3 linked regions of the Caenorhabditis elegans genome follow. The protein of the gene in region 3 interacts with the protein of the main gene of each other region in a pairwise test. Each region holds a gene or a part of one and is shown on either strand. Other genes may lie near its edges.

Evidence for each region. The genes of interacting proteins can lie anywhere in the genome.
Region 1: the proteins of ppfr-4 (region 3) and pph-6 interact in a two-hybrid assay, tested with the Caenorhabditis elegans proteins (one large-scale study listed by BioGRID).
Region 2: the proteins of ppfr-4 (region 3) and rike-1 interact in a two-hybrid assay, tested with the Caenorhabditis elegans proteins (one large-scale study listed by BioGRID).

Annotation. Positions count from the first base shown.
Region 1 is NC_003281.10:3,459,715-3,468,124, reverse strand, and holds pph-6 (Serine/threonine-protein phosphatase 6 catalytic subunit), read right to left. Parts: upstream 6,423-8,410; 5' UTR 6,422-6,422; coding exon 6,345-6,421; intron 5,824-6,344; coding exon 5,734-5,823; intron 5,678-5,733; coding exon 5,565-5,677; intron 4,099-5,564; coding exon 3,996-4,098; intron 3,939-3,995; coding exon 3,812-3,938; intron 3,094-3,811; coding exon 2,962-3,093; intron 2,271-2,961; coding exon 2,190-2,270; intron 2,001-2,189; coding exon 1,871-2,000; intron 1,290-1,870; coding exon 1,147-1,289; 3' UTR 472-1,146; downstream 1-471. Other genes in the region: smim-14 (Small integral membrane protein 14), read left to right, coding at 135-173; C34C12.8 (GrpE protein homolog, mitochondrial), read right to left, coding at 6,701-6,802, 6,924-7,139, 7,199-7,440, 7,509-7,612, 7,665-7,714; C34C12.2 (Fibronectin type-III domain-containing protein), read right to left, coding at 8,080-8,304, 8,372-8,410. UniProt on the Caenorhabditis elegans protein: Catalytic subunit of protein phosphatase 6 (PP6). In complex with saps-1, promotes actomyosin contractility during cytokinesis by regulating the organization of cortical non-muscle myosin II nmy-2 and thus contributing to correct spindle positioning.
Region 2 is NC_003283.11:14,542,797-14,547,660, forward strand, and holds rike-1 (RING-type domain-containing protein), read right to left. Parts: upstream 3,026-4,864; coding exon 2,977-3,025; intron 2,934-2,976; coding exon 2,725-2,933; intron 2,685-2,724; coding exon 2,066-2,684; intron 1,913-2,065; coding exon 1,701-1,912; intron 1,610-1,700; coding exon 1,399-1,609; intron 1,354-1,398; coding exon 923-1,353; downstream 1-922. Other genes in the region: kcnl-4 (Calmodulin-binding domain-containing protein), read left to right, coding at 1-97; C53A5.13 (Fibronectin type-III domain-containing protein), read left to right, coding at 4,145-4,196, 4,243-4,389, 4,487-4,605.
Region 3 is NC_003281.10:2,616,921-2,624,252, forward strand, and holds ppfr-4 (Serine/threonine-protein phosphatase 4 regulatory subunit ppfr-4), read left to right. Parts: upstream 1-3,015; 5' UTR 3,016-3,018; coding exon 3,019-3,210; intron 3,211-3,265; coding exon 3,266-3,689; intron 3,690-5,053; coding exon 5,054-5,421; 3' UTR 5,422-5,789; downstream 5,790-7,332. Other genes in the region: Y71H2B.5 (Aminotran_5 domain-containing protein), read left to right, coding at 4-333, 1,163-1,239, 1,293-1,438, 1,731-1,799; Y71H2B.4 (Lipoprotein), read left to right, coding at 2,070-2,196, 2,259-2,404; Y71H2B.2 (Phosphorylated adapter RNA export protein), read left to right, coding at 6,251-6,343, 7,320-7,332. UniProt on the Caenorhabditis elegans protein: Probable regulatory subunit of serine/threonine-protein phosphatase PP4 which may play a role in meiosis and embryonic mitosis.

The sequences.
Region 1 (8,410 bases), 840 kb from region 3:
CGAAAAAAAAAAAACAAAATTTATCGATTTTCAGATTTTTAAATATAAAATTAAACTATTTCAAATTTTAAAATGTTCTAAACTTCTCCTCGGGGAGTACGCGTCCTATAAAATTTTAAAATTCCAATTTCCAGGACAACACGCCACCACCTCCACCGCCATCTGCAATGTAAATCTGAAATCCTCTACCGTCCGTCTTCTGTAACACTCTCCTCTGCCACCAACCATTCCTGTGTATAAATTGAAAAAATCCAGTTTTATTTTTGCAACTGGAATCCTCTGGGTCCTCCTCTTCTATTCATTCATATGCTTTTAATTTTCTCTCCCCTGTGCTTTGGGTATCACAATTTTCGTCTCTCTTTTTTTTTGTCAAATTTTCTGTGAAAATCGCCTACTACTAGTCCCTACCAATTTCTTGTACATTTCCGTCTCTCTGGGAATATGAATGAAGATTCGAGATTATTCGAGAGAGATAATTGTTCACACATTAAAATTAAATTAAGGAATGAGAGAAAGAGAAAGGGGGAACACGACGGAAAAAAGTGAACAGGAGCTGAAAGAAGGAAAAACATGAGAATAAAGTGAAAAATCAGAGAGAGAATACACACAAAATGGGGGAAAATGAAGATCAAGTACACGAGGAACCGAGGCTTTTATAGGGGGTCCACTCCAGACAAAAAACATTAAAATTCAAGATGGAATAGCGTGAATTTGCTTTGAAATAGCAAAAAATGATGAAAATTGACAAAAAAACGATAAAAACCCGGAAAAAATTCAGAAATAATGAAAAATTCATGTTTTTTGCTCAACTTTTGACAAATTTCCCCGGTCATTGGTCGAAAAATGGGCGAAGCTAATCGCTAATTGGTCGAAAAAAAGAATTAACAAGCCTCTGATTGCAGGACCAATCAGCGATTTGCTCCGCCCTTTTTTGACCAATCAGGGGAAAATGTCAAATTTTACGGGAAATTAGCTTGAATTTTATTGTTTTTTGTGGGATTTTTTTGGAATTTCAATTATTTTGGCAGGTTTTTTTTTGGGTTTTTTAAAAAGCGATTTACACTATTCCACCATAAATTTTAAAGAATAATTAAATTATGTAGCTGTGGCGGAAATAGAAATAGGCAGGCAGGTGTGAGGTAATATTTAGAGGAAATACGGAGCAACGACACGATCCGGCTTCTCACGGCTTCCATCGGGAACTGCGTTGAAATATTTCGTCGAGCGATTGTTTCCGTCGATTTCGAATACGGCCGCCGCGTTTCCGCATCGATAGCAGTAGTTTGGAGCTGCAATTTATCCATTTATTTGAAATTTCTTTTTGTAATAACTTTTAAAGCAATTTCAGTTTTTTCAGTTAAAAGTGTTTTATTTTCTTTTTTCTGTTTTTAAATTTTTATCGTTTCCTTTAATCCTTTTTTTTACAGTTTTTTTAAAATCAGTTTCTTTTAGTTTTTTAATAATTTTTTTAGCAATTTCAGTTTTTTTCAGTTGAAAAATAGTTTTTTCTTCTCTTTTTTCAGTTTATTTGAGGTATTTTTCAGTTTTCAAGAAAATTTCCAGCTTGTGCGATTAAAAAAATTTCAGTTTCCAAGTTTTTAAGTTTTTCAGTTTTTTTTCAGTTTTTAATGAAAAAACATTAAAACTTTTTTTCGGAAAAAAGGAGAAATTCTTAAAACCGAGAAAATTTTGTTTTTCGATTTTTTTTTTGAGTTTTTTGAATGAATTTTGATAAATTAGAATTTTTCAAAAAAAGTTCGAAAACGGGAAATTATCGGAAAATTTCCGTTTTTTTTTTCAAAAATCGACCCATAATCTTTTTTTTGGAATTTTTTTTCTAATTTTTCAGCAAAATAAAAGAAATTCTTACCCGACCAAACGGTAGCGAGTTTCTCATTAAACATATACTTAAATCCTTCGTCAACGAGTTGATGGGACCGGCAAAGTAGTGAAAGATCATTATTCATTAGGAATTCTTCTGTCACTTTTGCTCCGAACACCTGCAAAAAAAATTAATTTTAAAGTGGAAATTCCAAAATTGACAGGGCTGTCGTATTTTTGGCAAAAAAAATAAAGGTTTTTTCGGACCAAAAAACAAAAAAAACTATCAAGTTTCAGTTGGAAAAAGAAAAAATCCAAATTTTTTTGTTTTTTTTGCCCAAATTCGGCAGATCAGTCAGTTTTCTTACAAATCCAGCTCCTCTTTGACTAATCACCCAATCTTCGACGTCATCATCCGGATCCGACCACATTATGTCACATAGAGGACCCTGCAAATTTGGAAATAATTTATTTAATTGAAAATTTGAGTTTCTCCATTTTTTTTTAGTAAAAAAAAATAATTTTTGAAAATTTCCAGTCATTTTCATATATTTTGAGTAAATTTTCTAATTTTTCGTATTTTTTTCGCAATTTTTTGAAGAAAAAAAAACGAGAATTTTTCATTTTTCGGAAAAAAAAAATTTTTTTTGCAATCGAAAAGTTAATTTTTTAATTTTTTATGAGAAAATCCAAAGAATTTTAATAATCTTTTTTTGGATTTTTCAAAATCGAAATTGTTCATCTTTTTGAATATATTTTAAGATTTTTCTCATCAAAATCATTATTTGATAATTTCGGTTTTTCAAATTTTCTCGGTTTTTTATTCAATTTTTTAAAACAAGACTTTCGTATTAAAAAAACAATTTTTTTTTTCGTATTTTAGAGTAAAATTCTCCAAAAATTCCCGAATTCTCGATTTTCTCATTTTAATCTGCATATTTTTGATAAATTTATAGTTTCTCGTATATTTTTTCTCAATTTTCGGATTTTCTTCCAAGAAAAATGAAACTTTTGAATAAATTTATATTTTTTATCTCTAAATTTTCAATGTTTTCCAAATAAAAACATTTAGTTTTCGATTAATTCCGGTAAATTATTTATTTTTCGATTAATTTTTCACGATAAATTAAAATTTCCAACCTTATTAGGAACTTCTTGAGCTCTATCAAGTAACATAAGACTATCAATTGTTCGAATATCAGGTGAAAGTCCTCCATGTACACACAGTACTGATTCATCAATTAAAGCTCCAATTGGAAGAACGTCGAATACCTGAAAAAAAATTAATTTTTAGTTTTTTAAACTGAAAATTTGATGAAAATGGTGAAAAAATACCTTTTCGATACAATTATCGGCTAAAAATTGTATTTTTCGACACGTAATCTAGTGCTTGAGCACTTTAAGAGCCAATTATCCCGTAAAAACTCGGATTTTTTCCGCAAAAATTGACAGTAAAAAGTTATTTTCGTCATTTTTATTCTACAAAATCACCTCTCGTTTAAAAAAATAATTTGAAGCGATTTTCGAGAAGAACTTTGGGAGCTCACGGAGCATTTTTAATAATATTTTTTGGAAATTTTCCATTCTGCAGATTGAAGGTTTTCTTTAAAAAAACCAGAAAAAAATCGAGCATTTTTGAGTCCAAAAATTGCACAAAAACTAATTTTGATGGATTTCATGTTTTTTTGAAGTTTTTTAAAAAAGAAAATTACAGAAAAACAATTTTCCGGAAAGTTTATATGAAATTTTTAATTTTATAAAAATTCGACTTATTTTTAGCTTTACTTTTGGAGCCATTTTGAAACGAATTTTGAATTTTTCAGCCAATTTTTCAGTTAAATTTTTAAAATTATCAGAAAATCGCACAAAAATCATTTTTTCATGAATTTTCGCGTATAATTTCGCCAAAACGTTGAATTTTTAACGATTTTTATCGCTTTTTCTGCACGACGAATTTCCAATTTCCATTCAATTTCCATCGCTTCCTTACTTTACAGAACCATTTGTGCACATTTCCGTGTCCATATTTATTCTGACATTCATCGTAGAATCCATAAACATTGGAAATTCGACGAGATTCATGATTTCCGCGGAGCAGTGTGATTTGATTCGGATATCTGCAAATTTTGGAGTTTTTTACAGAAATTTTGGTAGGAAAAAGAATCAAAAAATACTTGAGAAGAAGACAAAAAAGCAGTGTAACAGTTTCCAGACTGTAATGTCCTCGATCCACATAATCTCCCATGAATACGTATTTTGTGTTGGGAACTGTGCCGCCTGTAATGAGAAAAAATGGGTCACGTCACGATTTTTTTTTGTCATTCAAAAAATCAAAATTTAGATGAAAAATCGCTTTGTACTCCCCGAGGAGAAGAATTTCAGAGCTTTTTGCCGAATATATTTTTGTCATTTCTTACTGAAAAAATTCACGAAAAAAGGTTTTTTTAATCGAAATTTCAAGCTTTTTGGATAAAAAAAAAACGATTTTTTCAAACTTTTTTTTTTCAGAAATTCGTATAAAAACTGTTTCTTTAAGGATTTTCGCCTGAAAAGTGGGGTTTTCAAGATTTTTAACGATTTTTCAGTCGAAAAAATCAAAATTTAAATGAAAAATCGTTATGTCGATTTACGCAGCCCGTGTACTCCCCGAGGAGAAGAATTTTAGAGTTTTTTTTGCTGAATATATTTTCGCCATTTTTTATTTAAAAAATTTACGAAAAAAAGTTTTTTTTTCGAAATTTTAAGCTTTCTGGATTAAAAATATCGATTTTTTGACTTTTTTTTCAAGAAAATCGTATAAAAACTGTTTTTTAAAGGATTTTCGCATGAAAAAAAGTGATTTTTTCTAGATTTATACCGATTTTTCGGTGAAATATTCTAAATTTAGATGAAAAATCGTTTCGTGTCGATTTACGCAGCCCGTGTACTCCCCGAGGAGAAGAATTTTAGAGTTTTTTTGCTGAAATTATTGATTTTCGACGATTTTTCAAATTAATAAATTTAAACGATTGTTTTTTTTTCAGAAAAACTTGAAAAAATTATAAATTTTCAAATTTTGCACCCTTTTTCCACAAAAAACACTCAAAATTGCCAAAATATTTGAATTTTTCACATAAAACGTCGCCAAAACTTCTTCTTCCGTCGAAAAATCGAAAATTAGCTGTAAAAATGAATTTTTCGAGTTTTTTTCATGTTTGAAAACAGAAAAAAAACCGTATGGCCTCTTCCACGGCCCTGTGTCGATTTACGCAGCTGTGTTCTCCACGAGGAGAAGTGTATCACAATTTTCCGGCTAAAATGCTTGATTTTTAATTATTTTTTCGCGATCTTGTTGTAAAAAACACTTAAATCGCCATTTCTAGGCGAAAATCTAGGTTTCTATTGTTGAAAATATGAAAATTCTTCGTTTTTAGCAGTAGTAAAATACTTTTCCATCTGAAAAAGGCAATTTTAATGTTAAAAAAGCGAAAAATGGCCCGAAAACAGTGAAATTCTCCTCCTCGAGGAGTACACGAGCTGCGTAAATCGACACATTATCGATTTTTTCGATTTTCCGGCAAATTTTCGAATTTTTCATTCAACTTTTGAATTTTTCATTCAATTTACGAATTTTTTTATCCAATTTCTCGATTTTTTTTTGGCTAATTTTCCGATTTTCCCGGAAAGTTTCTCGATTTTTCGGCTGATTTTTTGAATTTTTCATCCAATTTTGTGACATTTCCAATTCGAATCCGATTCCGTACCAGTTTTGAATAATTCGAGTAAATCATAAAATTGTCCATGAATATCTCCACAAATTGTGACAGGCGACGAAACGGGCACCACATTGGCTTCCAGTGATAGACGATCGATTAATCTGAAAAAATGTTCAGTTTTTGAGCCGAAAATTGCTGAAAATTGCTTTTTTCTTACGTTGCACAAAGAGCAACAGCGTCAGATTCGGGCAAGTATTTGCATTCGCTCGCCCACGTAATCCATTGCTCCGGCTCTATTTTTCGAGATCTGGAAATGAAAAAAATTAAGTTTTGTATAATTTTGGAGCTGAAATTTAAGTTTTTTTTTAGAAATTTGCAAAAAAATTCGAAATTTTTCGCAGAATTTTTCAATTTTGAGTAAAAAAAATCAATTTCCAAGCTCAAATCGCCTAATGTAGATTTACGCAGCTCGTGTACTCCCCGAGGAGAAAAATACTAGTTTTCGACTAAAATGCTAGATTTTACATTTTCGCTGTTTTTTAAAAGTTTAACGTTCAAATCGCCGATTTTTCGCTTTTTTGGTAATTTTTATGCTGAAATTCAGCATTTTTAATATGGAAAACTGCTGGAAACGATGATTTGTAGTCGATTTTCATTTAAAATAATTAAAATGACAATTTTAATGTTAAATTGGTCAAAAATTGAGCATTTTCTCCAAAAACTATAAAAATCTTCTCCTCGAGGAGTACACGAGCTGCGTAAATCGACACAAAGCGATTTGTGCTTGGAAAATCGCATTTTTCGCTTGAAATATCCAAAATTTGGTACCCAATAAAATGCGTTGTGCTCTTTTCGAGCTCTCCTTCATCGCACACTGTCACCCGAAGAAGGTTTGTGTCGATCATTCTGAAAATTTTACGGTTTTAAATGAAAAAGAAGCTTTTTTCCTGTTTAAAATTAAAAAATATATGAAAAATGGCTGAAAACCTATCGAAAAAGTGGAAAAAAGGGAATTGAAACTCAAAAATTGTTCATTCGAATCCTATAAAACGGCGGGAAAAAGTGATTGGAGTGTGATGAAATAACGGAAAAAACAGAAAAACAATAAAAATTACTAGCTATTCAAAAAAAAACTACAAAAAACCGGAAAAACATTAAAAAACCAGAGGAAAATTAAAAGAAAATTATTTAGAGACGACTCCAACTTGAGCAGGCCGAATTGGACGTTCTTTCAGGCTGTAGCCGATCTTTGTACACACTTCGATATGTCCGACAGGTTGTTTGGCCTGAAAATGGAGGAAATTAAGCATTTTGTGGCATTTAAAAAGGATTAAATAAGCCCAAATTGTTCAAAAAATACAAGATTTGGCTCTTTTATTTCGGAAAATTCGGGCGGTTAGCACTAACATTAGCAGATGGAATCTGGAAAACGGCTTCGTGGAGATTGGGGTCGAACTTTTCATTGGTTGGATCCACGGTCACAAGGCCATGCTTTGCGAATGTCTTTGCCATGACAGTACGGGTCATTGAAACTCCTTCGAAAAGATCTTTCAGAGCTTTTCCTCCCGATTCCAGATCTTCTGGCTTCACAGACTTGACGGCAATGTCGAGAATATCGGAGACCTGCAAATTTGGAATTATTTTAATTGTTTTTCGGTTGATTTTGATTTTAAAAATCGAACCTCAAGTAAATCTTTGCAGAATGATTGGATTGCAAAAACCTTAGCATCGTCGGTTTGCTTGATACCTCGCCGACGAACATTTTCAGTTTCAGCAAGCGATCTTTGATATTTATCCTTAAAATCCAAGCTTTCGGCCTGCAAATCGTCGTATTCCTTGAGAAGAACATCAAAAGCACCCTTTGGAATCTGTGTCTTGTCCTCGCCGGCAATCGAAGTAAGAACAATTTCTTCATAGTCGGCTCCTGGTTTTTTTTTAAATATTATATCAGTTTTTAGAATTTAGAATTTGTTTTAGAGTAAAAATCGCTACCTCTGAGTCTCTTTCCGTCTTTTCTAATCTCATAATTGACTTCTTCCGATGATTGTGATGCCGTGGCGCTGAATCTTTGAATGCGCAAGTTTTTCTGAGTTTTCCTGCAATGAAAAAATTTGATTTTCACCGTTATTCAAAATTCAAGGAACTTACAGCGTTTGTTGAACAGCCTGGCCGACGAAAGACACTCCTTTGCGCAGCATATTGTCTGAAATTGCCAAAATTTGAAGAAATTAGGAATAAAAAACGAAAAATCGGCGGAAATTGGTAAAAAACGAAGAAAAAATTAATAAATTTCATCATGACAAGAAATGCGCCAGCACATGACTCAAGTGCGCCAGTAACGTGCTGGCGTGATTTTCGTGCGTGTCTGCGTCTCCATGCTTTGCACACTCTTTTCGAGGAGTTTTTAAGCGGCAATTTAAAGTGGAAAAGGGCAAACTGTAGCAGTTTTTTCTTAACTTTTTCTGCAAAAATCTGTGTATTTCCGCAAAAAAACACAGCAAATCCAACAAAAAATTTATTATCAATGCTCTAAAAGCCTTAAACACAAAAAAACCAAGATTTGTCACTTCTTATGTTCGCGTTCTCCATCAAAATCTGGTCGCTTCGGTACAAATCGATATTTGACAATTTTCGAATCATCTTTTCCATCAGTCACAGGTTCCAGGTGAGCTTTCGCGAAATGCGGTGATGTGACTGGAAATCTGGAGCATCCTCTGAACGTGACGCTTTCTCTGGATTTCACGTAACTCGGCGCATGTCGGCGCTGACCTTTCCATTCTGGGGGACGCTGAAAAAAAAGTATGTATTATTGCAAGTGCGCTCCAGTAAACTGAGCGATTCCGGCTGTCACTCACTCTTAAGGCATTCAAAGCACCCGGACTTGGAATTGCATA
Region 2 (4,864 bases), on a different chromosome or scaffold from region 3:
ACAATCGCAACTTGATGGGAAGATCTCTATGTTGTTCGAAAATGTTGAGGCGTTGACGCAGGCTGTGATGTCGAGGAAATGTTATTTGAGGCAGTGATAATAATTTGAAATTCATGGGTGCATTTTATTTATAAAAGAATATTCACAGAATTTCGTGATTTGAGAGAAGGATAAATTATATTAATGAACAATTTAACACGAGTCTGGAATTGAAACAATAACACTTATTGGTTATTGATGGGGTGATGAAAGATGAAAGAACCAAAAAACACGTAAAGCGCAGGAGATCGAAAAAGGGTACTTATGAATTTCGTGCCCTTCTTTGATTGTGAAAATAGCTCCTACGCCTTTAAATGCGAAAAAAATGAGTTAAAAATTATAAAAAGTTTTTGGGGGCACGAAATTCATAATTACATTTTACAGAGAGACAGAAAAATGGAAAGATCCTAAAATTTAAATAATACGTTTAATAGTACTAGGTTTCAGCTAGATATGAATAATGAGCAAGTTGGATTTTTGGTAATCAGTCACAAAACAGAAGACCCGAAGAACTCGGGGGATGTCCAATTGGGGGGATTACCAACTCGGGGGATTGGCCCCGCCCACAGAACCGTGGCTGGCAATACGCCCATTTCTGCAACTGCACGGTTTCGAAACTGTATTTTTCTCAATAGAGCGAGAATTAACAAGAAAAATACAGTTTCAAAACCGTGCGGCAGTTGCAAAAATGGGCGTATTGCAAGCCCCGGTTCTGTGGGCGGGGCCAATCCCCCGAGTTGGTAATCCCCCCAATTGGACATCCCCCGAGTTCTTCGGGTCTCCAAAACAGTAAACTGATTGGTCTCAAAGGTTAACGCCAAACCGAAAATCAACGAGTACAGCTCATACAACAGCTGTTTTTATGAAAATAAGATACACGATTTTATGTAATAGCTTGCTCATTCGATGCAGATGAACCGGCTCCAACCATTGGTCCGGAGCAACTAATAATCTCCCATGCACGTTTTTCTGGATCAAATCGCTCGACTTCATTGATTAAGCTCCAATTGTCAGCACATCCGCGAATAGCATAAATAGCTTCGTTCGTCGAGTGAAGAGTGAAATATTTTCGATCTTTGCTCAACGATGGCTCATCTCTCCATGATTTCGTCAATGGATCATAGCTTCGAACTGATCTCAACGTATTACTCGAGTTACTCCATCCACCAGCAATGTAGATTCTTCCTCTGAAGGCACACGATCCAAATCCGGCGCGACTTCCTTGCATGTCGCCCACAATTTCGAACTTTTGACCAGGTTCTGACAGCTTCTCAATCTTCTCTTCATATTCTTTTCCATTGAAACCTCCCAACACTGAAATTAAACCTTTTTTAATCAACTAATTAATCGAAATCATACCATAAACCTCTCCATTGCATGGAACAACCGCTGCATCGGCACGAGGCCTTTGCAACGATGGTCCATCCTTCCACTCTCCTTGATCAGTATCATAAACTTCCACAGAATTCATATAAGTGCTATCATATCCACCGGCCACGTACATTTTGTTGTTATGGATTCCCGCCGACGTTCGTGTTCTTCCACGCTTCATTTTATTACACTGTAATAACTTTGACATTTTTGTTGAAATCAATAAAAATTATTTGTTTTAAAAGTTTACAATTCTAGAGAATTTTTTAAAAGCTGAAAGAATAACCCACATCTCTTCGCAAGTTTTTCTCCCGATCATACATTTCAACGTTGTTCAACCATGATCCGTTATTCATTCCTCCGACTATATAAATTTGAGATTTGCTGCAGGCAACAGCGTAGTTTGATTTTGGGTTCGGCATTCGCCCAACTGGCGTCCATCCTCTGTTTTTAGGATCGTAGACTCCAATCAAAAGTGGTTCACGGGCACTCTGCTTTCGATCTGGAAAAAAAGAATAATTTTGAGAGATTTTTTAGACTGGAATCGCGGGAGGAGTCTGTATAAAATGCAAAAGCATGATAACAACGAACGACACGCGAGCGTCGCGATGAGCTTTTTTCGTTCAAGAATGCACAACATAAATATAACTTTTACCTGCAACCAATACGGGATCCTGACTAGCGAAAACGAAATTTGCCTTAGTAACAGGTTGTTTAGTTTGAAAAACGATTCGATCGTGCTCTTCGATTTCGTTATTCAAAAAATCCAATCGTGTTCCAGCATCTTTGACAAGAGCTATCGTATCACTTATTTTCTCCATTTCAGCTTCGATGTTGTTGAAGTGAGTCTTTCTTCCGGGCGGAGACAACTTTTCATGCTTTTCGAAGTAATTTTGAAGTGATTTAATTGTCGCCGCAAATTTGTCAGAGATATCATCGCACACCTGCTTCGAAAGCTCACTGATTTTACTGATTTTATTTCCGAGATTAGTCGGTGCTTGATCTTCGATACTATTTTTCAAAAGAGCCAGCTGCATTGTCTGATGTCCTTCGTGTTGGGCCCCATCCAAAGCACAATCACCGCAAATCGCCATCTTCTTAGCTCGTGTCATTGCTTCATCGACTCCATCATCTCCAACAACTAATACTAATTCTTTTTTGCCTTCGGCTTGCTTCAGAACTCCTTTTCCGACGGCGCACGTTTTACAAATTCGTAATTTCTTGGAATGTAGGGTGCACTCACTGCATGTTCCTTCGTCTAAGCTCTGCAAAAACTTTTTCTGGGTTTTTATAGAAAAAGGAAATTATACTTACATTTGTGGATTGTGCCTGTGGCGCTACTCCCCCACTTTGCATACTTTTAAAGTGCTTTATTAATTCTAAAACTTGATAATTGATTGTAGTAATTGCGAAGGCTTCTTCTCGATTGCACTGTGGACATTTTGATGAGACCATTTGATGTTTGCAACTTTCACATATGGAGTGGCCGCATGTGCCTATGCAAGGTTTCCGGAGTTCGGTGTCTGAAATTTAGAAGTTTTTTTCGAAATTCATTAATGTGCTCACCATATTCATTATAACAAATTATGCATTCTGTTGTATTCACAATTGACATTTCTTGAAAATTATTGTGTTTGAACCAACTGTTGACCCGTCTTGTCTGAAAAGAGGTTCAATGTGTGTGAAATTATCGATTTTTAGGGAAAACTTGCGCATTCGATTTTGCAAAAGGATTTTCTAAAATAAAATAAGAATAAGATATTTTCCGCGCGGATGAGTGGTGTGCGGCACGCGAATAAATTTCTATCCGGAAAATTTTCGGCGGAAAATAAATATTATTTATGGATATATCCGGATACTTCGAAAGGGCGCATTTGCACACGCAAGGATTCTAGGCCGCGAAGCTTGACATTAATTTATCAAAACCCATTTGGATTTCGAATCCGAAAGAAATTCGATAGATTTAAAAGTGATTCAATTTTGACGATTGGAGAAATTTCGAAAACATGCAATATTGAAATAGTTTTATTTTGAAACACAGGAACAAAACAATGAACAGCGAAAATTCGGAAGAAAACTAGAAGATATTATAAAATAAGAATGAGCAAGGCGCGTTTATCCGTCGACAAAGAGAATGAGAGAAACATACGGACATTGCCACGGTTAAAAAAGGAAATAGAATATCCTAAAAAATGATGAAAATCATTGCTTTTAAGTAACTGTTTTAGCATTATTTGAAATGTTCTGTTTCCTCATATAAAATTTCTCAGATTTTAAAAAATTGCTTGAAATCAAAATTTCCCAACTCTTTCTAATACTTATTTGAACCTAATGAAGAAGCCACGCTCATTTTGAAACCATTCACCATATTCTAATTTCGCTTTTTTGTGCAGTTCTAAATTTAGAGAAAATTCGATCAGGGAAATTAGCCAAAGTTGGAAATTTGCAATTTTATATCCACCTTTCACAGAATTTCTCATTTATTTCCAGTTCGTTTTACAGATATCTAAAAATTAGGACAGGTTTGAATTACTGTATTCAAGGTTTTTTTTATTGCGACACGATAAAATGCCTTTCTCCTACCGATATCAAATTTTCGTTATTTTTCTCTTCTCTCGTTTTCAAAGACCAAGAAAGAATTCTATCAATATTATCCTTTTTGACACACGATGATTTCTCCTTTTCTCTTCATCCAATCTAATTTTTCTGTTTTCACAACGTCAATCTAATTCGAATGCGATTTCCCATACACTTTCTGATTTTTATTCCGTACTTAATACTCGTTTGTAAGTTAATAAGCTCGTAGTTCTATAAATAGTTTCGAATTATTAGCAGGAGAAAACGATATCGATGAAGATCGAGAAGGTGATGGTGTCGATGTAATTGAGGTTAGAAATGACGCAATTCGAATTCGATGGAAACATGATTCCGATGAAGAAATTGTGACAAGACAACGATTAGTTGTAACTGTTATGAGAAGTACGAGCTCTGGCCATTTTGAACATTCAGAATATAGAATATATGATAGGCTCACAATATAATTGTTATCTTACCAATTTGAGTTTTACGATTTCAGGTTCACAACAAACGGAAAAATCATCTCAAACAGTTTTGGTTGATGCATTTTTGCGCGACTACACATTTATTGGATTAGCTGGAAACACAACTTACCGTCTATCAGTGGAAGCTTTCAAGGTATCCTATATGAATGCTTTCTTGTGAACAAGTATATCAAATTATGTAGTTCCGACGTTGTTGCGGTGGCGGTCCTCGGAAATGAAGAACCACTCCTTTCGGGCAGAGATGCTATCTGAAAAATTTGATAAATATATAATGTATTAAAGAGACGATATTGTGAAAACAATTATTATTTTGACGAAAAGGTAAATATATAGGTTGAAAATCCTCACTCACAGTACAAATATTTAGAGAAAATAACAATTGTAGTTTTATC
Region 3 (7,332 bases):
CAGCACCTCCTTCGAACTCGGTGCAATCACCGTTGATCCAGGATCTGCAGAATACAATCCACGCCCATTAATCGAGTATTGTCGACGGCTCAATATTGATTATTTCTACGAAGAGCAGGATATTATTGGAGCCGCCCGAAAAACGCCCGGACTCCGATCGATTTGCGCGTTTTGTAGTCGAATGAAGCGTGGCCGACTCGCCGCCGCCGCACAATTACACGGATGGAATGTTCTGGCGATGGGACAACATTTGGATGATCTTGCTGAAAGCTTCTTCATTGCCGCTTTTCAGAATGGAAATTTGAGCACGATGAAGGCTCAGTATACGACGAAGTTAGTACTGAAAATTAGAAAAATCGATTTTTGTTCGAGTTTTTTGAGACGAAAATCCTGAAATTAATCTAAATTTCGTTGTTTTTCAGGTAGAAACACCAAAAATCAGTCGATGTTTAAGATTTTCCTTTCAAAAATTCACCGAAAATGAAAAAAGATTGATTTGCCACCAAATACCTAACGAGACCCGACTCTTGGGGGCGGATTTTTATGGAAAATTTACGATAAAATCGAAATATTTTCCAAATGTTTTGAACTCAAAATCCTGAGAATGCGTATTGCACAACACATTTGACGCGCAAAATATCTCGCAGCGAAAACTACAGTAATGACTACTGTAGGTGTCGATTTACGGGGCTTGGCGGCAGCTCGTAAATCCACACTTACAGTAGTGATTACTGTAGTTTTCGCTGCGAGATATTTTACGCGTCAAATGTGTTGTGCAGAATATCTCGCAGCGAAAACTACAGTAATGACTACCGTGTTCAAAAAAACAAAAAATTGGGAAAATAACTTGATCTTTCCTGGAAAACACTGAAAAATCGTATATTTTCCAGAAAAATACGCTCCGCCCCCAACAGGCGGGTCTCGTTAGGTATTTGTAGACAAAACTTTAAATTCAAATGTTTTTGTCACGTTTTTCATTAGTTTAATAAATTTTTATGCCGAAATTTATAAAATAACATAAGTTCGACGAAAAAATCAATAAAATCGATGGAAAATTGAAAATTTTCCTAACGAGACCCAACTGTTGGGGGCGGAGCGTTACCAATTGTCCGTGGAGCGCGTTTTCACGTCGATTTCAAAAGGAATTTCAATTTTTTTCCAGAGACGGAGCTCTTCGAGTCATTCGACCGCTGGTGATGGTTCGCGAGAAGGCTCTACGAAATTTCGCCGAGGATAAAAGTATTTTCAGCGATTTTTTTTTTGAATTTATCTCCAAATAAATAATTTTCCAGAACTCCCAGTTGTCGCGGAAAACTGCCCGGCATGCTTCAACCAGGCCACCGAACGTCACCGTGTCAAGCAGCTCCTGGCTCAGCAGGAGCTCATCTTCCCCGACTTGTTTAATTCACTGAGATCTGCTCTGAAACCACTGCTTTTGGTGGGTGATTTATGGGTTTTCAAGCTCTAGTAACGCGGGATGTCCCTTGAAATGGCAGAGTTTTGGGAAGCTCGGCCGCGACGCAGCAGCGCGCGGAGCGGCTCAGGCAAAAACGTTGATTCTGTTTTTTTTTCTACCAGAAAATGATAAAATCAATGTGTTCGTCTGAGCCGCTCCGCATGCAGCTGCGTCGCGGCCGAGCTTCCCAAGCTGAAAACTCTTCCATTTAAATATAAGAGGGACTCTGAGCCCCCTTGAGCTCTTTTTTTCAAATCTAATAAATGTTTTCCAGGTTGATTCGGCGCACACCAGCGTGATGCGGAGCCAGGCGGTGCATAATATTGTGAAGGAAATGTCATAGGGAATTTTTCCTATAAAAATTAAAATTTTCCTATTAAAAAAAATATTTAAATATTTTTCTTGTTGTTAAATGTTAATCGTAATTCGTCCTTGAGCGTTTGAATGTTTTTTTGATGTTTTGGTTTGTTGAATAAAAACTTTCAAAAATAAAACCGACAACTGACACATTGATGAAAAAGTGAGTAAAAAGTTAGTCAGCTGTTCCATCGGAAGCCGGCTCAAAGCTCTCAAGCTCCAAAGCTCCAAAGCTCCGAGCCAGTCTGCCGCCGGAATGCGGATCGCCTTGATTTTCCTCGTTCTCCTCGTTTCCTTCGCCTCGTCATGCAAGAATTTCGATAAATATATGAATATGTTCTGCCGTTACGGCTTGGAGCAATCCCCATGCACTGTTGAGGATTGTAAGTTTTTTTATTTATTGATTTTTTGTGTTTTGTTTCAAAAGATTCATAATTAATTTCAGATAGCACCTACAAATCCGCGTGCTGTGCCATGAAGAACAACTGCTCGTACAAGGAATTCCCGAAGGATGATGTCTGCTGCTTCACTGTTGAGTGCCTCAAGAGATGCTTCCCGGAGAAGCTGCTCAAGAACGATAAAGTCTATTAAATAATTGGATTTTGATGTTTTAATTTTTTTCCAATAAAGCCAATTTTTTAGACTAAATTTTCGGCGATTTTCTTCTTTTTTGAGATAATTTTTCAAATTTCGCGCGGGAAAAGTGATTTTGCGCCACTTTTTGAGCCTCTGCGGCCATAATCGAAGACTTTCAAAAAAACGAGTTTCTCCACTTTTTGACTCGAAATAAAGCGTTTTCCGAAACATTTTGAACGTTTTATTAAATATGATTTTTGGTCATTTTGACAGTGTTTGAATTGTTTTTCCGTTGTTAAAGGAAAAATGACACGATTTCCCATAAAAACCCTTTAAAAACAAGCAAATTTGAGTTTTTTTGAACGTTTTCTCCATAAATTTCGATAAAAAACCGAAAATTCCGTCTGAAAAGTTGTAAAATGTGTTCCAGAAAAAAACAAAAAATTGTTTTTTCAGAAATCTGTGCAATATTGCGTGAGGGTGTTTGCACAAGTGTCGTCAAATCGGGTGTTTTCTATTTTCGTTTTGTTTATTGAAAAATTTTCGCTCACTGAAAACGGGTTTTCTCTGCGAAACCTGAATTTTTCCTCGTTTGTTCAATTAAAAATTGATTATTTAAATTTCAGAGCATGTCAGAGCTATCAGATGAAGAAATTTCCTTGCAAGCGCTTTACGATCCGAGCAAAAAGGTGATCGGCGATATTGAAGATGGGATTTTTTCCACCCCGGAGCTCCAACCTCGCATCAAAACGGGAATTGATAATCTCCAGTTGGTCACGAAGCTTGTGAATCAGATGAGATTGTTTTCGTCGAATGAGCAGGTTTTTTATCGAAAAAAAAAAAGATTATTTCTGAAATTAAATGATTTTTTTTCAGATTGAAGACGTTCCAACAAACTCGCTGCCCTATCTCCTTGTCCCATGTTTTTTGGGAATTCTCCACCAAAATTTGATGACTGAGCCCGGCCTGAAGCTCGACGAACTGAGAAAATCCAAAATTTATATGCGAAATTTTCTGGATCGCCTCCGAGATTTGTGCCTGATCACCACCAGATTACCATGGGAAGATGAGGATACAGAAGAGCAAAATTTAAAGGAGAAGCCGAAGCTTGCAGTTGAAGAGATCAGAAGATTGAAGTTGGAGCGTCACAAGAAGAAGCAAGAGCTCAAAATGGCGGAGCTCAGGATCCAAAAGCAGCTGGAAGCCGTTTCAATTGATGAGCAGAATCTCAGAGAGCTCTATATTACTCAGTTATTGTTCTGGAGTGAAAGATGTTACGAGGAGTTGCAGGCGATTGATGGTGTGTAGAATATCGCCTAGTTTCCATGGAAAAATTATTTTTAAAAATCACGAAAAATCGGAATTAATGTGATTTTCTGGCAGAAAAACGCAATGTTATCATATTTTTTTTCTGAGAACTCGAAGAAAACTGGAATTTTTGCTTGAAAAATCGTTTTGTTGCTCTAAAAATGCTCAAAATGGCTTCGAAATGCCGAATTTCATGGAAAATAAGGAGAAAAATGGCTAAATTTAGCTAAACTTCCGGATTTCGCACATTTTTTCATTAATTTAACGATGTTTCCAGACGAATGGTAACCAAAACACAGAAAAACAGCAAATATGTTCAAATTATGATCTTTTATTCGAGAAAAAAACTATTTTTCTGTGCGACGCTGCTTTTTAAAGATTTTTTGTAATTTTTTTAAACTATTATTTTAAAAAATCGAAAAATTCAATTTTCAGGGTCATTTTGAGGCTCTAAGAGCTATAAAATTCGTTTTTACCCACAGACAATTAAAAAAAAAGCAAAAAAAGGAAAAATAATAATTAACTCATTTTTTAAATTTTTGCAAAACTCCTTTAAAATTAGAAAGTTGTAAAAAAAATTTCGAATTTTCAATTATTCAAAAATTGGAAAAAAATTAGACAATTAACAGGAAAATTCATTTCTTTTATCAAATCTGGTTTATTTTGATTTGAAAAATCAGAAAATATATAGTTTTCTTCTACAAACAAAAAAATGATCAAATCACGACCAAATCGGAGATTTCCGCTAAATTTTGGACTTTTTTCTTGTTTGTAGAAAAAAAAGATATATTTTCTAAAGTTTTTCATCAAAATAAATCTAAATTTTTTTTTCGATTTTTGAATTAAAAAAATTAATTATTCAAAAATCGAAAAAAAAATTTATTTTGATGAAAAACTTCAGAAAATATATCATTTTTTTTCTACAAACAAGAAAAAAGTCCAAAATTTAGCTAAAATCTCCGATTTGGTCGTATTTTGGTCATTTTTTTGTTTGTAGAAGAAAACTATATATTTTCTGATTTTTCAAATCAAAATAAACCACATTTGATAAAAGAAATGAATTTTCCTGTTAATTGTCTAATTTTTTTCCAATTTTTGAATAATTGAAAATTCGAAATTTTTTTAAACAAAAAAATAAAAAAAATTTAAATAATAAGTTAATTATTATTTTTATTTTTTGCAAATTTTTTAATTTTCTGTCAGTAAAAAAGTTTTTTAATAGTTTTTAGAGCCTCAAAATGACCCTGAAAAATTGAATTTTTCGAGTTTTGAATAATTTTCAGTTCTTCATGGCCAAGCCTTTTAAGCCTTTTAGAGCAGAAAGCGACGTTTTTAAAAACGGAAAACAATTTTCAGACGAGCTTCCACTGCTGAAAATGATGGCTGAACGAGCATCTCACCCACATCGTCATCCAGCTCCACCACCAGCAACAAAGACAGTTCCAACACTTAAACCCTTCATTATTACCAGAGATGCTCAACAGAAGCAGGTCTTTGGGCTCGGATATCCAGGAATTCCAGCGATGAGTGTCGATGAATGGTATCATCAGAAATTCGGTCATAATCCACAAAATGCTCCACAATCGTCGGCTCCAGCCGGGGCAGAAGCTCAAGAATCCGAAGAAGAGGTTGATGATGACGAGGCGAGAGCGAAGGCGATGCGTTGGGATGAATATAAGGATGATCATCGACGTGGATGGGGAAATATGCACAATAAAGGATAAATTATATTGTAGATCTCTACTTTTACGCGGGATTCCTAGCTCCCGCATGTGTCGATTTACGCGGCTTGTGTACTTCACGAGGAGAAGGCGAAAAATTTTGAAAAATCTGCATTTTTTGAATGGAAAAATTGCAGAATTGGCAATTTTCGGCGGATTATTTTGAGAATTAAAAAAAAATTGCAGTTTTTATGGGAAAAAATTTTTTGATAAAATTATTGAAAATTTTTTCCGCGAAAATCTGCAATTATCCGTTTTTTACGATATTTTTCTAGAAAAAAATCAATAAAATTGCGGTTTTCTGGAAATTTCAAAAAATTCCAGGTTTTTCGAAAATTTTGAAAAATAAATTATTCAAATAGAGATATTTCAGATATTTCTTTCAAAAAACTTGAAAATTTGCGTTTTTTTGAAAATTCTGAAAAAATTCAATAAAACCGCGGTGTTCTCTTTGAAATTCTCAAAAATCACTGGTTTTTTTTTGGGAAAATTCAAAAAATTGAGGATTTTTCACTAAGAAGTCTCAAAAAAAAATTCGCCGAATTTCCTGAAAATTCTCAAAATTTTCCATAAAAATTGCGGATTTTAGCAAGAGTTTTTTTCAAAAAAAAAATCGGATTTTTCCAAAAAAAAGTTCCCTTCACTTCGGGGAGTTCACGAGCCGCGTAAATCGACATTTTTATACGGCGTCTTATTTTCGTTTCGAATAAATGTGAAACTGTAAATAATTATATTTTATTATATTTTTTTTTGCATTTTTAAAGGGTTTTTACCTTTTTTATACATAAGTTCCAAAATATTTTTCAGATTTTCAGAAAAAAAAAATTTCAGAATGGCATTCCGTAAGCGTCGTCACGATTCGGAAGGAGATTCCGATGAAGAGAGACTTCCGATCAATAAAGATGAAGATGAGGATCTGAAAGCTGTAAGGAGCACGATTTTTGGCTGAAAATCGGGGATTTTCTACCTTGAAAATGAAAAAATTGGCAAAAACTAACCATTTTCGTAACAAATTTCGATTTTTGATTAAAAAAAAACCGAAAAAATCAAGAAAAAGTTTCACAATTCGGATTTTCTCTTAAAAAAAACTATTTTTGACGAAATTTTGAAACTTTTTTGTAAAAAATTCAATAAAACAAGATTTTAAGCACTTTTTTCGGATTTTTCAGAAAATAAAAATTTTTTAGAACAGTTTCTTTTCAGAAAAAATCAAAACTTTTTTTTTTCAATTTTTAATCGAAAAATCGGCAAAAAGCTACTTTTGTCTTCAAAATTCTGAGAAAATATCCATTTTTTACATTCTTACTCAATTTTTTGAAAAAAAAAAAGATTTTTCTTAAAAAATGTATTTCCGATAAAATTTTAGCAATTTTCCTCAATTTTTTTGGCGATTTTTCGATTAAAAACTTGAAAAAATTCGAAAAAAGCGCTTAAAAACTAGCTTTATTGAATTTCACTCAAAAAAAAACTGAAAAAAAGAGTTATACAAATAACAGGAACTGAAGAGTAAAATAAAAAAACATTCTATTAAAAAAAACCGGTTTTAATTATTTTTTTCTCAATGTTTTAATTAATAAATTGATAATTTTGATTTAGTGTTAAAAATAATCAAAAATCTAATTTTCGGTCTATTTTCTAATTTTTTTGAGAGAAATTTCTACTTTGAAAAAATTATTTTCAAATTTTCAAAGCTTAAGTTTCTCTCAAAAATTAAGAAAATAGACCGAAAATTTGATTTTTTTTAAAGCTAAATCAGAAATTATCAATTTATTAATTAAAAAATCGGAAAAAAATTAATTTCATTTTTTAAATAGAAAATACGATTAATATAATTTTTTGAAACAAAGAAAAATACCCGAAAATTGTAAATAATTATTGAAAAATATTAAAAAAATTTCCAGGAACCGGCAAAAA